Linked DNA regions of Tamandua tetradactyla. The protein of the gene in region 2 purifies or fractionates together with the protein of the main gene of each other region. This does not show direct contact. Links are inferred from orthologs where the notes say so. Each region holds a gene or a part of one and is shown on either strand. Other genes may lie near its edges.

Region 1 (7,090 bases), on a different chromosome or scaffold from region 2:
TTTTTTCTTCACAGCCAGTACAAAAAGTCAGCAAGCCTAAAAAAAGTCAATGAGTCCAAACTGGCCCGCAGGCCATTTTCCTGCTCTAAAAGACGCCCCTGCTTTTCACTTGCCCAAAGTAAGAGAAACCAGTTTTCTCACTCATGTTTTTCCCTCTAGCATGAGGAGCTGCCTACCAGTAGGGGCCCTTCCATCTCCAAGCTATACTAAGTAGCAATTTTTAATGAATAAACATTGCACAAGATTTCTCTTTTAACCATGGAACACTCTACCATAATCCCTTAATAAAATAACCAGAAGGAAAACTTGTGCTAAGTACAGCTCAATCAAATCCACAACCCTTTCAAGCAATTCCAAAAGAACCAGATGTGGTTGGCTATGGAATCAACACCACCAGATGAACACCAGAAGACTTTACATAAAACTATTAATTCTAAAAAATTTTTAAAAAAACATTAAGAGTAAAGTTACTTTATAAGCAAGAAATTAAAAGGTAAATTTAGGATCCTGGAATATAATACATTTAGCCAAGTTGCGTAGAATAGTCTCTTACCTCACTTTATCTTACTGTGTTTTCTATATACTTTTTATTTTAATCTTTACTCATAAAAGAAATTTTCACAATGTGAACGTATTCATCTCGAAACAAAGTCTGGATTCATTATTCTAAGTAAAATAGTCAATCCCCCCTAAATACTCAGAAAGCACCAGATTAGACTTCACCATGGAGAAATCTGTGAAACTGTCAGTGCAAATGGTTAAAACACATACGTGTTTACACACACACACACACACGAATATAATCTCAGATGAAGTTTTCCTAAGTGTGACAGACAGTTTTTAAAACGTACACAATTAGAAGGCATCCTGTTAGGAGACATTCTGAGGCTATGACAACCAGTTATAATTCTACTAGGCTCCATAAAAGTCAAATTGCTTAAACAGTTTTTCAAATTTTAAAATAAATCTACTCTTTTATGAGCAATGAAAACTTATCAAGTTTGCTGCAGAACAGGTGATAATAAGTGTTCAAATAAAACACCCAATCATAATTCTACATCAATGGAAATAAGCCTTTTTTTCCTTATCCAGACCGTTTTTCTATCAAATCTTTGTTAAAAATGACATTTCTAATTAATCATTCTATGCCATTATCCATACTCTATATGAATACGTCATTTTAGTAGCAGTTATCAGTACAGGACTTTAGAGTTGTTTCTTAATTAACTAAAATAATTATTCCATAGCAATGAACGTGGTTTTACCACTTCTTACACTATCACAGGAATGACTGCCTAACAAACTACAATACCTGAGAGATTACAAAAAATATACGTATTTTCTATAAACATAAATTTAGGATTCCTTTCAATAAAGGAAAAGGGGACCTACATATTCACTAAGTCAAAACTAAAATGTCTCTTTTCTGAATAAACTGCTTTATCCACTTCTTAGATAATTCTTTACTGTCATTAAGTCACACGAAATCAACCTCAGTGTAAACTATCTGAATATCTGGCATTCTAAGAAAAATAACACAGAAAAATAAGAAATGTGAAAATGATACACAAGACGACATGGAGAATAATTAGCCACTACTCTCTGTATCATAAATGCTAGCTATTATGAGCCAGCACCCTAGCAGAGTTCAAAAGCCTCTTCTAATTGAACGTAATGTTAACCGCAAGTGTGGTCAAATATGAAACAGCTCACTCTTAATTCTACAGCTGAACTGCCCGTACTTCTTTAAGTGACACAAAACTGGGCTAATGATAAGACGGTAATCGGGTCACATCGCATCACTCACGATCCCCAAGTACAACTCTTAAAGGAATTCAACTCCAGCCCAGTTCTGTTTTTAAAAGCCCTTCCTGTAATAGCTTGCATCATCTTCCTCCTCATAAACATCTTTCCGGTCAGATACTTAAATAGAAGTTTAAAGGAAATCTCCCCTGGGAAGGATGAGAAAGGAAGGTTCCGTAGGATGGGAGTCAGGACCTTTCAAACATATTTTTTTAATGCTTAGGGAAGATGTCACCTGCATAAGCCCGGAGAGTGAAATGGCTCACGATGCATGGTTAAATTTCTTTATGACCCTTTGTATGCTCAGAGATTCAACTAGACAGAAAGATGCACCGGCTTTTCGTTATGTTTCCCAGAGGTTATGAAGGCTGTCCGGGCTGACCGGTCTGAGAGGCTCTTTTGGATCTCAGGCCCCGGTATTAGGCGGGTGCCCCCCGCCACGCACCGGCCCCAAAGTTCCTCCCATCCTGCCGCCGGGAGCAGCCGCCGAGGTGGCCGGGCTTCTGCAATCAGTTCCGGGGACCGGGGGACAATGCGGGGCTCCTGGGCGCCCACGCTCGGGCCCGGGAAGGAGAAAAAGGAGGCCGTGCTCTGCCCGCGACGTGGAACAAAAGACGCTACCCGGCCGGGCCCTGGCGCCCGGGGGTGGAGGACCGGCGCCCGGCCGGGGAGTCGGGGGGGAAAACTTTCCGAAGCGCCGGCACCGTGGAGCGAGGGCCCGGCCTCCCTCTCGCGGTGCCGAGCCACCCGGCACAATAGCCGGACTCAGCGCGGGAAGGCCCGGCCGCCACGCCCCCGCCCCGGCCCGGGGTCCGGCAGTGTACCTGGTGGTTCTCCTTCCTGCCGCCCGCGGCTGCCGTTGGCCCGCCCGGGCCGCTCGTCATGTTCACGTACAGGGAGCGGGTGAGCGGGCTCCGCAGCGTCCACATCCTCCGCGCCAGCCACACGGACGCCAGGCTCAGGCACAGCCAGCCCGCTAACAGTCTCATCGGGGGCCGCGGCCGCTCGCTCAGATCACCGCCCGCGCCGGGGCGAGGAGGAGGAGGCGCCGCCGCCTCCGGCCGCCGCCGCCGCCGCCGGCGCTCGAGCCATCGCGCCCAACTTGCCCATCCAGCCCCTTCGGGGCCGAGGCGGGGGATGGGGAGGAGCGGCCGACTCACACGCAGCCTTCCCACCGCCCCTTTCCCTTCCGTCCCCGGAACGCAGCCGCGGGCGGCGCCAGTTTCCAGCCGGAGCACGTACGAGCGGCTGGAGCGCGTGCTCCCCGGGGCGCTCTCCCTCTGTCCAATGAGCGGGCGGGCCGGGAGGCGGGACAAAAGGAGCGCTCATTCGCCCGGTGCGCGTCCACGCTTCCTGTCTCTGCCACGGCTCCACGTAATGGCGGAGATGATTTTAATTTTTCTAGGGGAGGAGGGGTCGTTTCCAAAGGCGGTAACTGAAGCCCCTCCGCTCCTCCAAGGTGGTTCCCGCAGGACTGCTGGTCTTTCATCGCCGTAATTGTTGCATTTGGGCGCCTCATCCCACACCCGGGCGGTGCGCCCACCTTGTTGGGCAGATTGGCCGGGGGTGGAGGGGTGAGAGCGGGTCAGCCCCTCTTACGTCTTAACACTCAAGAACCAAGTCCTTCCCAGAGACAAACGCTGCCAGTTCTTAACTGTTCAGGCATGGCTGCATACCTCCAGTTTATGTTTAGAGGCGTCGAGTCAAACCCCCAGTGCCAAGGGCCTCCGTCCTGCTTCACATGAACTGCAGGACATTATAGGAATCTAGGGATAAAGGATACCACCACCGGCCCCGTGCCCCCAAGCCTGGCACATTGCGGGCCAAAGGCTCTGCTTTTGTTGAAAGCTACTGCAGTTGGGCAGGTAATGTTTTGATGTGTTGATGGCCCTGCCTAAGGATGGAGACCCCAAATTAGAGTCGCTGGCTGCTCGTTTTCTTGAACTCACAGACGGAAGTTGGACCAAACATTCAGGCTAAGTAAGCTCTGGGAGCGGTGCTTACCCGGATGTTTACGCCTGTGTAGCACTAGGAGTCCTAGCAACGTCTGAAAACTGAAGGGTTACACAGTGTTCCTATGTCTAAAATTCTTCCTGCCGCTACCCAAGCTACAGCCGAGGAGTAACGTATTTCATGGATCCTCTAGCTTTAATAACACCTTTCTAGGTTTGTCTGTTTAAAAACGCTTTTAATTTAACTACACCAGAAATAATGTAAATACATTTCAGTCGAAAACAAAAGAACAATCTTTAGGTTAATGACAAATTTGCATTTCAGAGCTTTTCATTTATGAAACAGTGGTGTGGTGATCTGATAAGCAGCAGCCTCGTTCCTAACCCACAGATATTTTTATTAGCTTCTGAGAATCTCAGCTTGACACCTTTCACTAACAGGGACATCTTGTTGCCTAATGTAAAGGGGGATGGGGGGAAGGGGGCAGGGAGTACTTTGTGTTCTCTCTTTCCATTATACTCCCTGTCTGCTTCCTGCCAAAACCTCAAAGAGCCTACTACATCTTATTAAATCTACTTCAAACCTCCAATGATAGTGGCCCAAATCATCAAAAAGAAACTAAAGTAGCGAGTTCAAATAACTCAGTTTGTTTACTGTGTCACCTCTCCCTCTTGTCTTGGGATCAGTGTTACAGATACAGGAGCTGTGTGCCAAAAGAAAGCCTTCATCTTTTCAAAGTGGGAGGAGGAGGGTGGAAGCAGCAGACAAACGGCATATTTCCGTTCTGAAGACAAAGGAGGCAAAAAGATATGTCCCTTTCTCCCACCCCTTATAAAGTAAGCTTGCTGAGCAGGCAACTTGGAAACTGAAAGGGTGAAACAACTAAATGCTGTTGTAGCCTGAAGGATTTGGGGTCAGCTAACTCCTAAGAAGTCTAGCATCTCGAAGGGGCAGATTTTTACTTTATACCTGAGCAGCTGGCCTGGAAGAATAAATTACCCACACATTTAAAATACTCTATAGTAACCACAAAATAATCAAATACATGTTATTTACACTTAGCAAGCACAGGAAGAAACCAAAGCGCAGCGTGATCAAATGATTTGCCTAAAGGTAGCAGAGCAAATTCAATAGCAGACCTTTTCATAGAACCTGGTATCCCAGCTCACGGTCCTTTGATCCATCTAAGAAGCCCCGATGCCACTCTCTTGTCAGAAAGTCTCCTCAATTACAAATGAGGAGGAAGGAAAACAGCAAGAGTAAATATACTAAGCAGAAGTTCAGATTGCTCTTGGGGACTGCCCCCTTCCTTTATCTACTAGAATGTCACTCCTGTAGATTAAAACCTCAGTTATCCATAATGCAAAGGGGAAGAGGCGCAGATAACACAAAAAGCTGAATAATTCGAGCCATTACCCTTTCTAACTTGGCTCTGAAATGCTGTCAGTGATAATCAAAAGATGCATAGCTGGCACCCTTTGTGCCTAGCTCTCCTCAGTTTTCCTAACCAGGAGCCCATGCCTAGTGCCATATCTCACTTGTGGAAACCTGTCACAGACCTCTGCAGACCTGAAATTTTGAGTGGATTGAGTTCCTATCCAGAAGTCGAAGAAAGGGCTTTTATTTGCTTATTCTTTTAAATGATAAAGCATTTTCATGTTCTCTCTTCAATTTCACAGTGTAATATTCAGAGATCCTAAATGATTAGAGGCTTGGATCTGTACAGTGCCTACAGTATTGGCCATTGTTTTCTCTTTGAGGAGATATAGTCAAAAAAGAACTTTTTATCATTACGTTTTCAAGGGCTTAAATTTTTTTATGTTGCATAATAATGTTTTGTAGAACATTAGACCAAGTTTTCCCAACATATTCAATAGATGTGTGCAACAAGAAACCTCTCAAAAGTAAAATGAATGAGTGTACAGGGTTTGACCTGAATTTAGTTCATATGATTGCAGTCATATACAAGTCACATCACAGTGGTCTCCGAATGATAAATTCTAAGTCCAGGTGAAACTTCAAACATGCATGAAGTAGAAGAATTAAACCAGGAATCAGAAGCCCTGCAGTACCAAGTACAAATAGCACAGCAACTACGTTAGCGTCCTCTCAATGCTACATATTAGCATAGGGGTTTATCATCTGCATTGTTGAGACAAGCTACCTGGTTTTTGAAACCTGGTCCTGTGCTTCTTGGTTATTCAATAATCTAAATCACTTTACTGGACCTCTCCAGGCGTCTGTTTTCTCATCTGTAGCATGGGGATAATAATAATAGTTACCTATCTCTAGGGATATTGTGAGGATGAAATTATATATTCTAAATTTAAAGGGCGTAGTGTAGCACCTCAACACATTGTGAGTGCATAGAAAATGCTAAATTTCTGTTCTTTTCATTTTCTCTTGGATAAACCAACCTCTTCAGAGCTTCCCTTTCATCATCTGTAATCTGTGGGCCATGATGCCTACTTCACAATCTGTGAGAATCAGATGATCTTAAAGCTTCATAAACTGTAAAACATTCAACCAAGATTATCATAATAGGAATATTCAGTTCTGATATGACTGTGAATTCTGCAAAGCTACTCTCCCTAAAACATTCTCTTACAACTGATAGCTTCTCCTCAGACCATCTTCATTTATTCAATAAATACTTTCTGGGTATTTACTTACATCAGGCACTAAACTAGGCATAAAGGAAAACAAAATAAAATCCTCATAGAGCTTACTGTCTAGTAGGGAGACAGACCAAACAAGTAATTATACAATGAATATATACTTAAAACTTCTGAGTGCTAGAAAGAGTCTATGTGTTAGAAGAACTTATAACAGGAATGCCTTACTTGAGGGTGGAATGGGGGTAGTGTTCAGGGAAAGCTGCCCTGAGGAAGTGTGGCATTGTGGTCCTCATTTTGACATTTCCTTATTGAGCTTGAGAGCTTCCGAGTTGCCCAAGTTCTTCCTGGACTATAGGTGCACCCAATACTTGTGACAACAGAAACGGGGTGCTTCTCGGCTTTGATGTAGGATGCAAAGAATCTCTGTGCACTTCACAGGCTCTTATGGGACTTTGGAGAAGAATAAATGAGATCATGTTAGCACAGCTGTCAGCACAGTGCCCAATATCATCAGCTCCCTAACCAGCCATTGTTAGTACTGAACCATGAAGTGGGTCAGAACTTTGTTCTCTCTGGACAAGTGACTTAAGCAGTCCCAGCAGTGAGCCGCCATCTACTTTAAAACTTAGTCTCATACAAGACAAATTCCGTTAAGGAGAGTCCTAAGTCCCAGGCTCCACCAAACGAGTCACTTTCTCAAACTGAGAATTGTGTGA
Region 2 (8,076 bases):
TTGAAAGGACATGAATTCTGTCCTGCCCCCAGGGACATCTGCTACTGCAGGAACTAGACTCATCCCTCCCCACATCAGGTATGAGGCTCCAAGGTCATTATTCACTGACGTCTATGGGTAGAAGGGAGCTGGTGGTGTGTGAAGTTGATGCTGCTCCAGGTTTGCAGTTCCAGATGGCCTTGGCCTAGGCCTCAGGCCGGACCCAGGTGTCTCAGGTTCCAGTGCTCGGAGCACTGGGGAAATTCTCCCTGCAGCCTCTAGTGGACCGTGGCATGGCCTCCTTCCTCCAAGACTGGGTATGAGAGTGTGTGTATGAGAAGTGGCCATACTCACATGATGTTCACGGCCACGGCACAGCCGGACGTGATCAGCATGGTCCCCCCCTTGATCTCATAGTCACCAGAGACCAGCCGCTCTGCCGCCAGGTACACCAGCACCCCAGTCACAACCCAGATGGATAGCACAGAGAGCAGGGCTCCCAGGATCTCTGAGGAGAAACCCAGCCCCCAGCACCAACCTCAGCCTAGGTCCCTAGGGCTGTGGAGAACCTCCCCTCTATGATCCCCCTCACCCCCAGAGAGCCAAGCCAATGCCTGGGCCTAACTGGGCTCTGCTGAGGGAATGACTGGCACGGGTGCACCTTGCCCCACTACCCAAATATCAGACCTAAAAAGGATGTAAGTCATTTTTGTTTTATATGGAAAAAAACTGACCTACATACCCATTGCTCAGCTGGCAAGGATGAGGACAGGCTGGGCCATCTCCCATCAAGAGGAAAATGACAGAGCAGCCCAGAATTAAAAGGGGGTTTAAAGCCTGTATCTTTCAGAAGGCTTTGTTAGCTATCCCTCTCCGCCTCCCCACTGAGCTGCTCCATGGAGGTGAATGCCAGGCATTTTGCTAATGAACTTTGGCCCCTGAATTTCTTAGGTAAGTGACCTCCTTTCCTATAGCTTGGGAGGTCCCGATGACTGGGACCAGGGTTCCCCCAACACCCTGGGAGTTTCTGGAGGACAAGGGTCAGGACTTCTGCACCAGATTGGGAGCTCCCAGAGGCCAGAGGCCAGGGTGATCAACGCAAGGCATCCCCCTGGCCCTACCCAGGGCTCCATCTATTTCAGCCCCCTGAGAACCTATGTCCTAATCCCCTTTCCCTGAACTCTATCTCCAACCTGACCAGGGTCCTCACCAGCTCGCTGCCAGCCAAAATTCATGGTCTTGGTGGCTGGCCTGGAGGACATCCAAAGGGAGAAGAGGCTGATGAGCATGCTGGCAAAGTCAGTGAGCAGGTGGGCTGCATCTGTCATAACGGCCAAGCTATGTGCCAGGTACCCACCTGCAGGGGAATGGCCAGGAAGATGGAGGGTCCTCACCAGCTCCCCAAGGAACAATCTTCCCAGACTGTATGTGCAGTGGAGAGACCAGGGATTCCAGAGACAAGCACACTGGGTTCCAGATTGCTCTATCCACTGGCTGTGTAATTGTGGGCAAATGACACTCTCTGGGCCTTAAATTCCACACATCCATGAAATGGGGATAACATCTACTTAAAGGGTGAATGTGAATATCAAATTCAAATAGTAACAGAAAGCATAACAGGTACTCAGTCAATGCTCTCTGCTCTCTCCTTATAGGCATTCAGGCCTTCCCTTCCCTACTAGCTATATGTGAATCTTGGGCAAGTTACTTAACCCCAGTGTACCTCAGTTTCCCCTTCTGTAAAATAAGGAGGTTAACAGCACACATATGACATCACACTTTCTTGTAAGCAATAATGTATGTAAAGGGCTTAGTGAGTGTTCAAAAACTGGGGCTATTTAGTGTGAATATTCCTGGGAACATCGAGGAGAGAGAAAAGCCTTTTGGATCATTTAGTTAGACTTCAGTTGAATTAGCACAGACTTACCAATGACTTCACCAATCATGAACACCAGACAGATGGCAGAGGCCACATAGAGCTGGCACTGGGCCCTCTCCTTCTTGGGGTCTCGGAGAGTGCCAGGAGCCCTCTGGGCATGACAGTAATGGTTGCTCTGGGTGGTCAGCTCAATGGCTTGCAAGTCCAGGCCAGGCTGCCGCATAGGGATCCAGCCAGCCCCATCCTGCCACAGAGATCCCGTGTATGACCTGGCCAGACCGGAAGGAAGAGGACTCAGCTCTGAGGTGGGGGCAAGAAGAGCTTACTCTAGGCTCACCTTGCTGTGAGGCCTTGGCGTTCCCAATGGGTCGAGTTGGGGTGCTGTTTAGGGACACTGCAAGCTCTCAAAGTCTCTGAGGAGTGACCAGTAGGTGAGAAGCACGTGTTCTGTGAAGGCTTGGGAGATGGGATGAGCAGTATAGGAGTCTGAGGGCCTTAGACGAACAGCCAGAGCTGTTCCCTCCTCCCCCAACCCTTCCAGGAATTGGCCAAGAGGCGGGGCCGGTTCAGCCTAGCGAGAAGAAGGAGCAGAGCTCAGGGAGGACAGACCCGTCCCCCTCCTCCTCCCACCTGCACTTGGGGACAGAGGGCCTCCCCTGGGCGGGGCCTACAGGGGGCAAAGTGCTGGGCTGGTCGCAGGGCTCCGGGCATTCGACCTGCAGCCCCTTTCTTGGCGGGTAGGGGTCGGGATCAACTCTTGGCTTCGAGGGATGGATAAGCCCCCGCCCCCCAGCCCACGCTCGATTTCCCCTCTCTGTCACCTCACCCCATCCCTCTTGCGTGGTGCCAATTCAAGCCGCCACCAAAACCGTCCACTGCCAGGGTGGCAAACCGGGAGTTTCGTCTAATGCCGCTCCAACTCTCGCCCCTCCCCATGCTCTCGCCTTACCGGGCTCCGGGTCTGGCGTCCAAGAGATGCTTTTTCTCCGTGGCCTTCATGCGGCCCCGCGCGCCGGCTGCCCAGCCGAGTGCGCCTTCGAAGGAGCGCGCGGGACGCTCCGCGGCGCTCGCGCTCCTGCGCGGGGAGGAACGCTCGCGCCGCTCCGCTGACCCCTCGCTTTTCCCGCCGCTTCTGCCCGTGGCCTCGCCCGCCCGCTCGCTCCGCCGCGCCCCAGCTGCGGCCCTGGCCACTCGCCGGCCGCCCCTCAACGGCTGCTGCTCCGGCTCGGCGCGCGGCCCTCCCACCTTCGGGTGCCCGCCGCTGCGCCCCGCGTGCGGCCCGCTTTATCCGGCCCCGCCACCCCGTGTGAAGCCGCACGTCGTGTGCAAAAGCCCGCGGGGAAGGGGGAGGGAGGGGACCGGCTGCAAAGGGTGCTCCGCCACTGCCCCCGACCAGCCGTGGGGCCCGAGGAGCCGACCTGGCCTGCGAGGAGCGCCTAAGCACCTTTGCCTCGCTCGGCCGCTCCGGCTGACTGACTCAGGGCTGAGCCAGGCCCACTCAGGCCCCCGCGCGGGGCTGGCCGCACCCCACTCCGAAAAGTGCTCGGACCTTGGTTTGTAGGAACCCTCTTTGGATTCCCTGAGGACGGCAGGGTGGCTCCTTGCCTCATTTTTAGGGGCTCCTGAGGCAGGCTGTATTCCCCCTCCACCTCGGGACTCCTGAGGTCTGCTTGGTTCTTGCTGTCAGACTGAGGCACCCCTGCGGGCGGTGGTGCGCCGCTCCCCTCAGGCCCGAGGCACCCGCCCTCCACAGGACTCTCACTGAAGCAGTTCCTCCTCTCCTGTCCTCCGTCCTCAGAATCTGGAGTGGCTGGCTTTATTTCCACCCCGCGGAGAGCGCTGCGGCACTTCATCAGGAGTTGCCTCTGGGCAGAGCCATCCCTCCCCGCTCCGCAGCAGGTCACAGGAGCCCCAGGAAGCCGGGCCTGCCAACGCGGGGAGATGCGGGCGGAAGGTGCGGGACAGCGCGGGGTCCCTCCCTGACAGCTTGGCGGCTCGCCCACTTGAAGCAGCATCCTCCTATGGTTCCTGAGCGGTGGGGACCTTGCGTGCCCCATGCTGGCCTTTTACAGGTGCTCTGTATGAAACGGCTGCAGCCTCCCTGGCCAGTCACCCCAGCATACCCTAGGTCTTTGTCCCCTGGGTTGAGAGCATAACCCTGCCCAGAGCAGAGAGTCTGGGGTTCAAGTCTCTTGCCCACACCAGTAGGAAAGGAAGGGACTCCTTCAGATCTCACCCCTCTCCCCACTGCTTCCCCACCCCCACCCCCAACAGGAGCCATCATAGGAGGCAAGGTGCTAGGAGCCAGGGTGGTGTGGGATATTGCATGCCTGCTCTGGTTGGGTCCCCACTGAGTGCCTTTCCACCTCCTCAGGATTCTGAGTGTGGAAAACTTTACCAAGCTTCCTGATTTCCTTAAAGGTACAGTCTAAGAACCAGTAGGCTCAGGCATTACCTGGAGAAGGTGTTAGAATGCAGGTTGCAGTTCCCTGCATCAGGCCAACTAAATCAGAATCTCTGGGTGTGGAACCTGGAAATCTGTGTATTTGCAAGATCCCTATGGGATTTTCTGCACAGTCGTTAAACCTCTGCATAAGCTCTTGCAAGATGTCTCAGATAGGTGTTCATCTTATCTCTCCATTCGATTTTAAGCTCTTTGAGGGCAGGGATAGATCTTGTACTTCTATTACATTTTAGCTCTGCTCTGAGCACCTACTGGGCACTTAATTAAATACATGTGAATTGGATTGGAGTAAAAAAGTAGACAACTATAGGGCTGGTCATTTAATCAGAGTAAGTGAAGTGGATGCTGCCCACAGGAAGAGTTTCTTACTGGGTGATCTCAGTTGTAGCTTCAAACTGCCCTAGGCTTAGATTCTTGTCTTTAACCTCTCTGAGGGCAAAACATTTATGCGTTATAAAAGTGTCTTTTAGGTCGGTGCTATGGTGGCTCAGCAGGCAGAGTTCTCACCTGCCATGCCGGAGATCCAGGTTTGATTCCCGGTGCTTGCCCATGCAAAAAAAGAAAAAAAGTGTCTTTTAGGTCCCTTTTGCTCCCTTTAAAGCAAAGCACATTGTAAATTCTCAGTAAATGCAGATTTTAATGGGATCCAGCTACATATATTCACTTTATAAAAATATGCACAACAAATTTTCCTTTAAATTAACAATTTCTCAAGATGCATTTTTTATGATTTGCAAGATTTTAACTAACCAAAGATTAATCAAGACTTGAAGATACTGAAAAAGGCCAAGACCATTTGTATTATATAAATGACTCCTTCAGAATCAAAGGAAACTTCCTCAATATCATAAAGGGTATATATGAAGAACCCACAGCCAGCATCATTCTCAATGGTGAGAGATTGAAAGCATTCCCCCTAAGACTGGGAACAAGACAAGGATGCCCATTGTCACCACTATTATTCCACATTGTACTGGAAGTTCTAGCTATGATGAGGCAGCTAGAGTATGCAAATGACTTCACAAGCAACTGCTTCCATATGTTTCACATTTTTAACATTGATCATTCAAAATTAAAAAAAAAAAAAGGCTCCTATAGTGATGCCCAGGAGGTCCTACGCAGAATGACCTAGCAGCTCCCAATGACTCACCATCACTTGATGAATTTTATCTGAGAATGTAGATTCCCACATTCCAGAACCAGAGTCTGATTCAGTAGGTCAAGGGTAGGGCCTGGGAATCTAAATTTTGAAAATCCCGCTCTGTGTTTGATCCTATTGTAGAATTATTGATAATTTTTTATGGTATACTGACTACTATTTTTTTAAGTACCCTTATCTAAAGTATTGAAGATGAAATTATCTGTATATGTCTGGGATTTGTCTTAAAATGATTATCCCAGTGGGGGAGTGGGTAAGGGTATAGAAGAAGCGATATGGATGATCTGTCAGTAACTGTTGTTGAAACTGAGTAATGGTCCATGGGGTCACATTATACTATTCCTTCTACTTACTTTTCAAAATGTTTTCAATTTTCTAGAATTAAAGGTTTAGGGGCTGAGGGTGGGAAATAAACCTCCTTGGTGACTCTGATGCAATAGCCCATGTAACTGTAGTCCAGATTCATTGGAATAATGCCTTTGGAGCCAGTTTCCAATCTTGTAGCATGCTCTTAAAGGAAGATTCTGGATCAATTTTTTACCACCCTTAAGTGTTCTAGTTTGCAAGGACAGGAAGAGACCTTTGTGTGGCAAAGTAGAGATACACTTATTTGCAATTGATAGATATCTTCCTGGAATTTAAGCTTTGACTGTAGAACCTTGAGTGCCCTCTCTTCTCTGGCAGATAAGTGACAAGCTATCAGGCTGACACGCAACAAGCATGTCATGTAATTCCCACATAATCAGTAACCTGAGAAATAATCTGGAGAAGGATATGCATAAATTGAAATACTAATTGTTTTTTAAAAATTGTTATGCACAGGCCTGACACAGTGTTAATTCCTAGTATACATGAACTGTTATTGTGTTTACTATTATGACTACTATTTTAGCCCCATGGGCATCCTGTGACTTTTCACAGCAAGGCTGCAGACATCTTCCATTATAATCAATCCAGATTTATTGTTTCCCTAAGGGGCAGTGGTTGCTCCTCTGGACAAAGTGCTATGCTTTATATGTTCAATCCCTTTAGACCCTGAGGTTATGTCTCCTTTTTTCACTCCTATAAACCATCCTTGTTTTACATCCTTGTGGATTTGTACAGTTATGTTCTGGAAGGTGCTTCCTGGAGACCTGTTTTACCTTTTTTATGCATTTTTTTTTATGTGCAAATTGCATAAGGAAGCTTTGAAGGCAGGGGGCAGCAGGAGCAATTCCAGAGAACTGCCAGGGACTGGGGGTCGCCACACAGGCCTGAGACCCAGAGCCATCCTGCTCCTGTGAAGTGGGGCTTAATTGCTGCTTGAAGGTTATGAGTGAGACTGGGCTGAGTGTAGATGACAGGCCTGTGTACTTAGAGAGAGTAGTCTCCATCCTGCCACATTCCACTCACCAGAACTAAACAGGCACCCATCTCCCTCTCAGCTGCAGTTTGCCCATCTGTCATGTGGGCAGATAAAGGATGTGTGTTTGGGGTAGGACGGACAGCCCTCAGCTGGGGCAGGCCTCAAATTGGAATCTGGTAAATTGATGGGGCTTTGCTGGGTAGATGTTGGGATTACAGAGACGAGGGAACCCCACGTCCCTGTGGAGGTACAGGGCCAGCCATGACTGTGAAAAAATATATAGCTGAGGAGAGAGACCTCTTTGGGGGTCATCTGGTAAGTTGAGGCATACAGTGGCCATGAGGGAGCTGGCACAGACTCCTCTGTTCTGCCTGATCAGCCAGGAGGTGCAGCTGCAAGGGGTGAGGGTGCGTAGGCCTCACCCTGTTCCAATTTACCTGGCCTCTTTTTATTTTTATTTTTTAAATTGTGGTAACATATATTCAACATAAAATTTCCCATCTCAACCGGTTTCAAGTCTGCAATTCTGTGGTATTAATTGCATGTACAATGTTATGCTCTCATTGCCACAAACGGTTACCAAAACTTTCCCGTCAACCCAAACAGAAACCCTATAATCATTAAGCATTAACTTCCTGCTCTCCGCTCCTGGTAACCTGTAATTAATTCCTGTCTCTATGAATTTTCATATTCTAGGTATTTCGTATTATTAAAATTATACACTATTTGTTCTTTTTCATCTGGTTTATTTCACTCAGCATGATGTCCTCAAGGTTTATCTAAGTTGTAAATGTATCAGAACTCCATTCCTTTTTATGGCTGAGTAATATTCCATTGTCTGGATATGCCATATTTTGTTTATCCATTCATCTATTAATAGTTGTTTTGCTTCCACCTTTTGGCTATTGTGAATAATGCTTTTCTGAACATTGGAGTAAAAATATCTGTCTGAGTCTCTGCTTTTAGTTCTTTAGGGTATATCCCTAGAAGTGGGATTATCAGGTCATATGGTAATTCTATACTTAATTTACTGAGGAACTGCCAAACTGTTTTCCATAGTGGCTGCACCATTTTACAGCCCCAACAGAAGGTTTGTATTTTCCGTTTGTTGAATAATAGCCATTTGAGGGGACATGAGGTGGTATCCTTCGGGACCCTTTGAAACCAAATGATGTAGAGTAGAGGTGCAAGAGAGTTAACGCTCTGGGAGACAAACTTCCAACCCTGAAAGACAGGAGATGGGAAGCATC

What was found. Proteins that work in one complex are often made in the same cells at the same time.
Region 1: the proteins of SLC30A2 (region 2) and METTL9 purify together in Homo sapiens (co-immunoprecipitation; 3 studies listed by BioGRID and IntAct, with this or other methods). This does not show direct contact. The link is inferred for Tamandua tetradactyla from reciprocal best matches to the Homo sapiens genes SLC30A2 and METTL9.

Annotation. Positions count from the first base shown.
Region 1 is NC_135349.1:34,751,655-34,758,744, forward strand, and holds the start of METTL9 (protein-L-histidine N-pros-methyltransferase), read right to left. Parts: upstream 3,031-7,090; 5' UTR 2,793-3,030; coding exon 2,628-2,792; intron 1-2,627. UniProt on the Homo sapiens protein: Protein-histidine N-methyltransferase that specifically catalyzes 1-methylhistidine (pros-methylhistidine) methylation of target proteins.
Region 2 is NC_135328.1:200,154,599-200,162,674, reverse strand, and holds the start of SLC30A2 (proton-coupled zinc antiporter SLC30A2), read right to left. Parts: upstream 3,057-8,076; 5' UTR 2,858-3,056; coding exon 2,808-2,857; intron 2,128-2,807; coding exon 1,907-2,127; intron 1,337-1,906; coding exon 1,190-1,336; intron 488-1,189; coding exon 334-487; intron 1-333.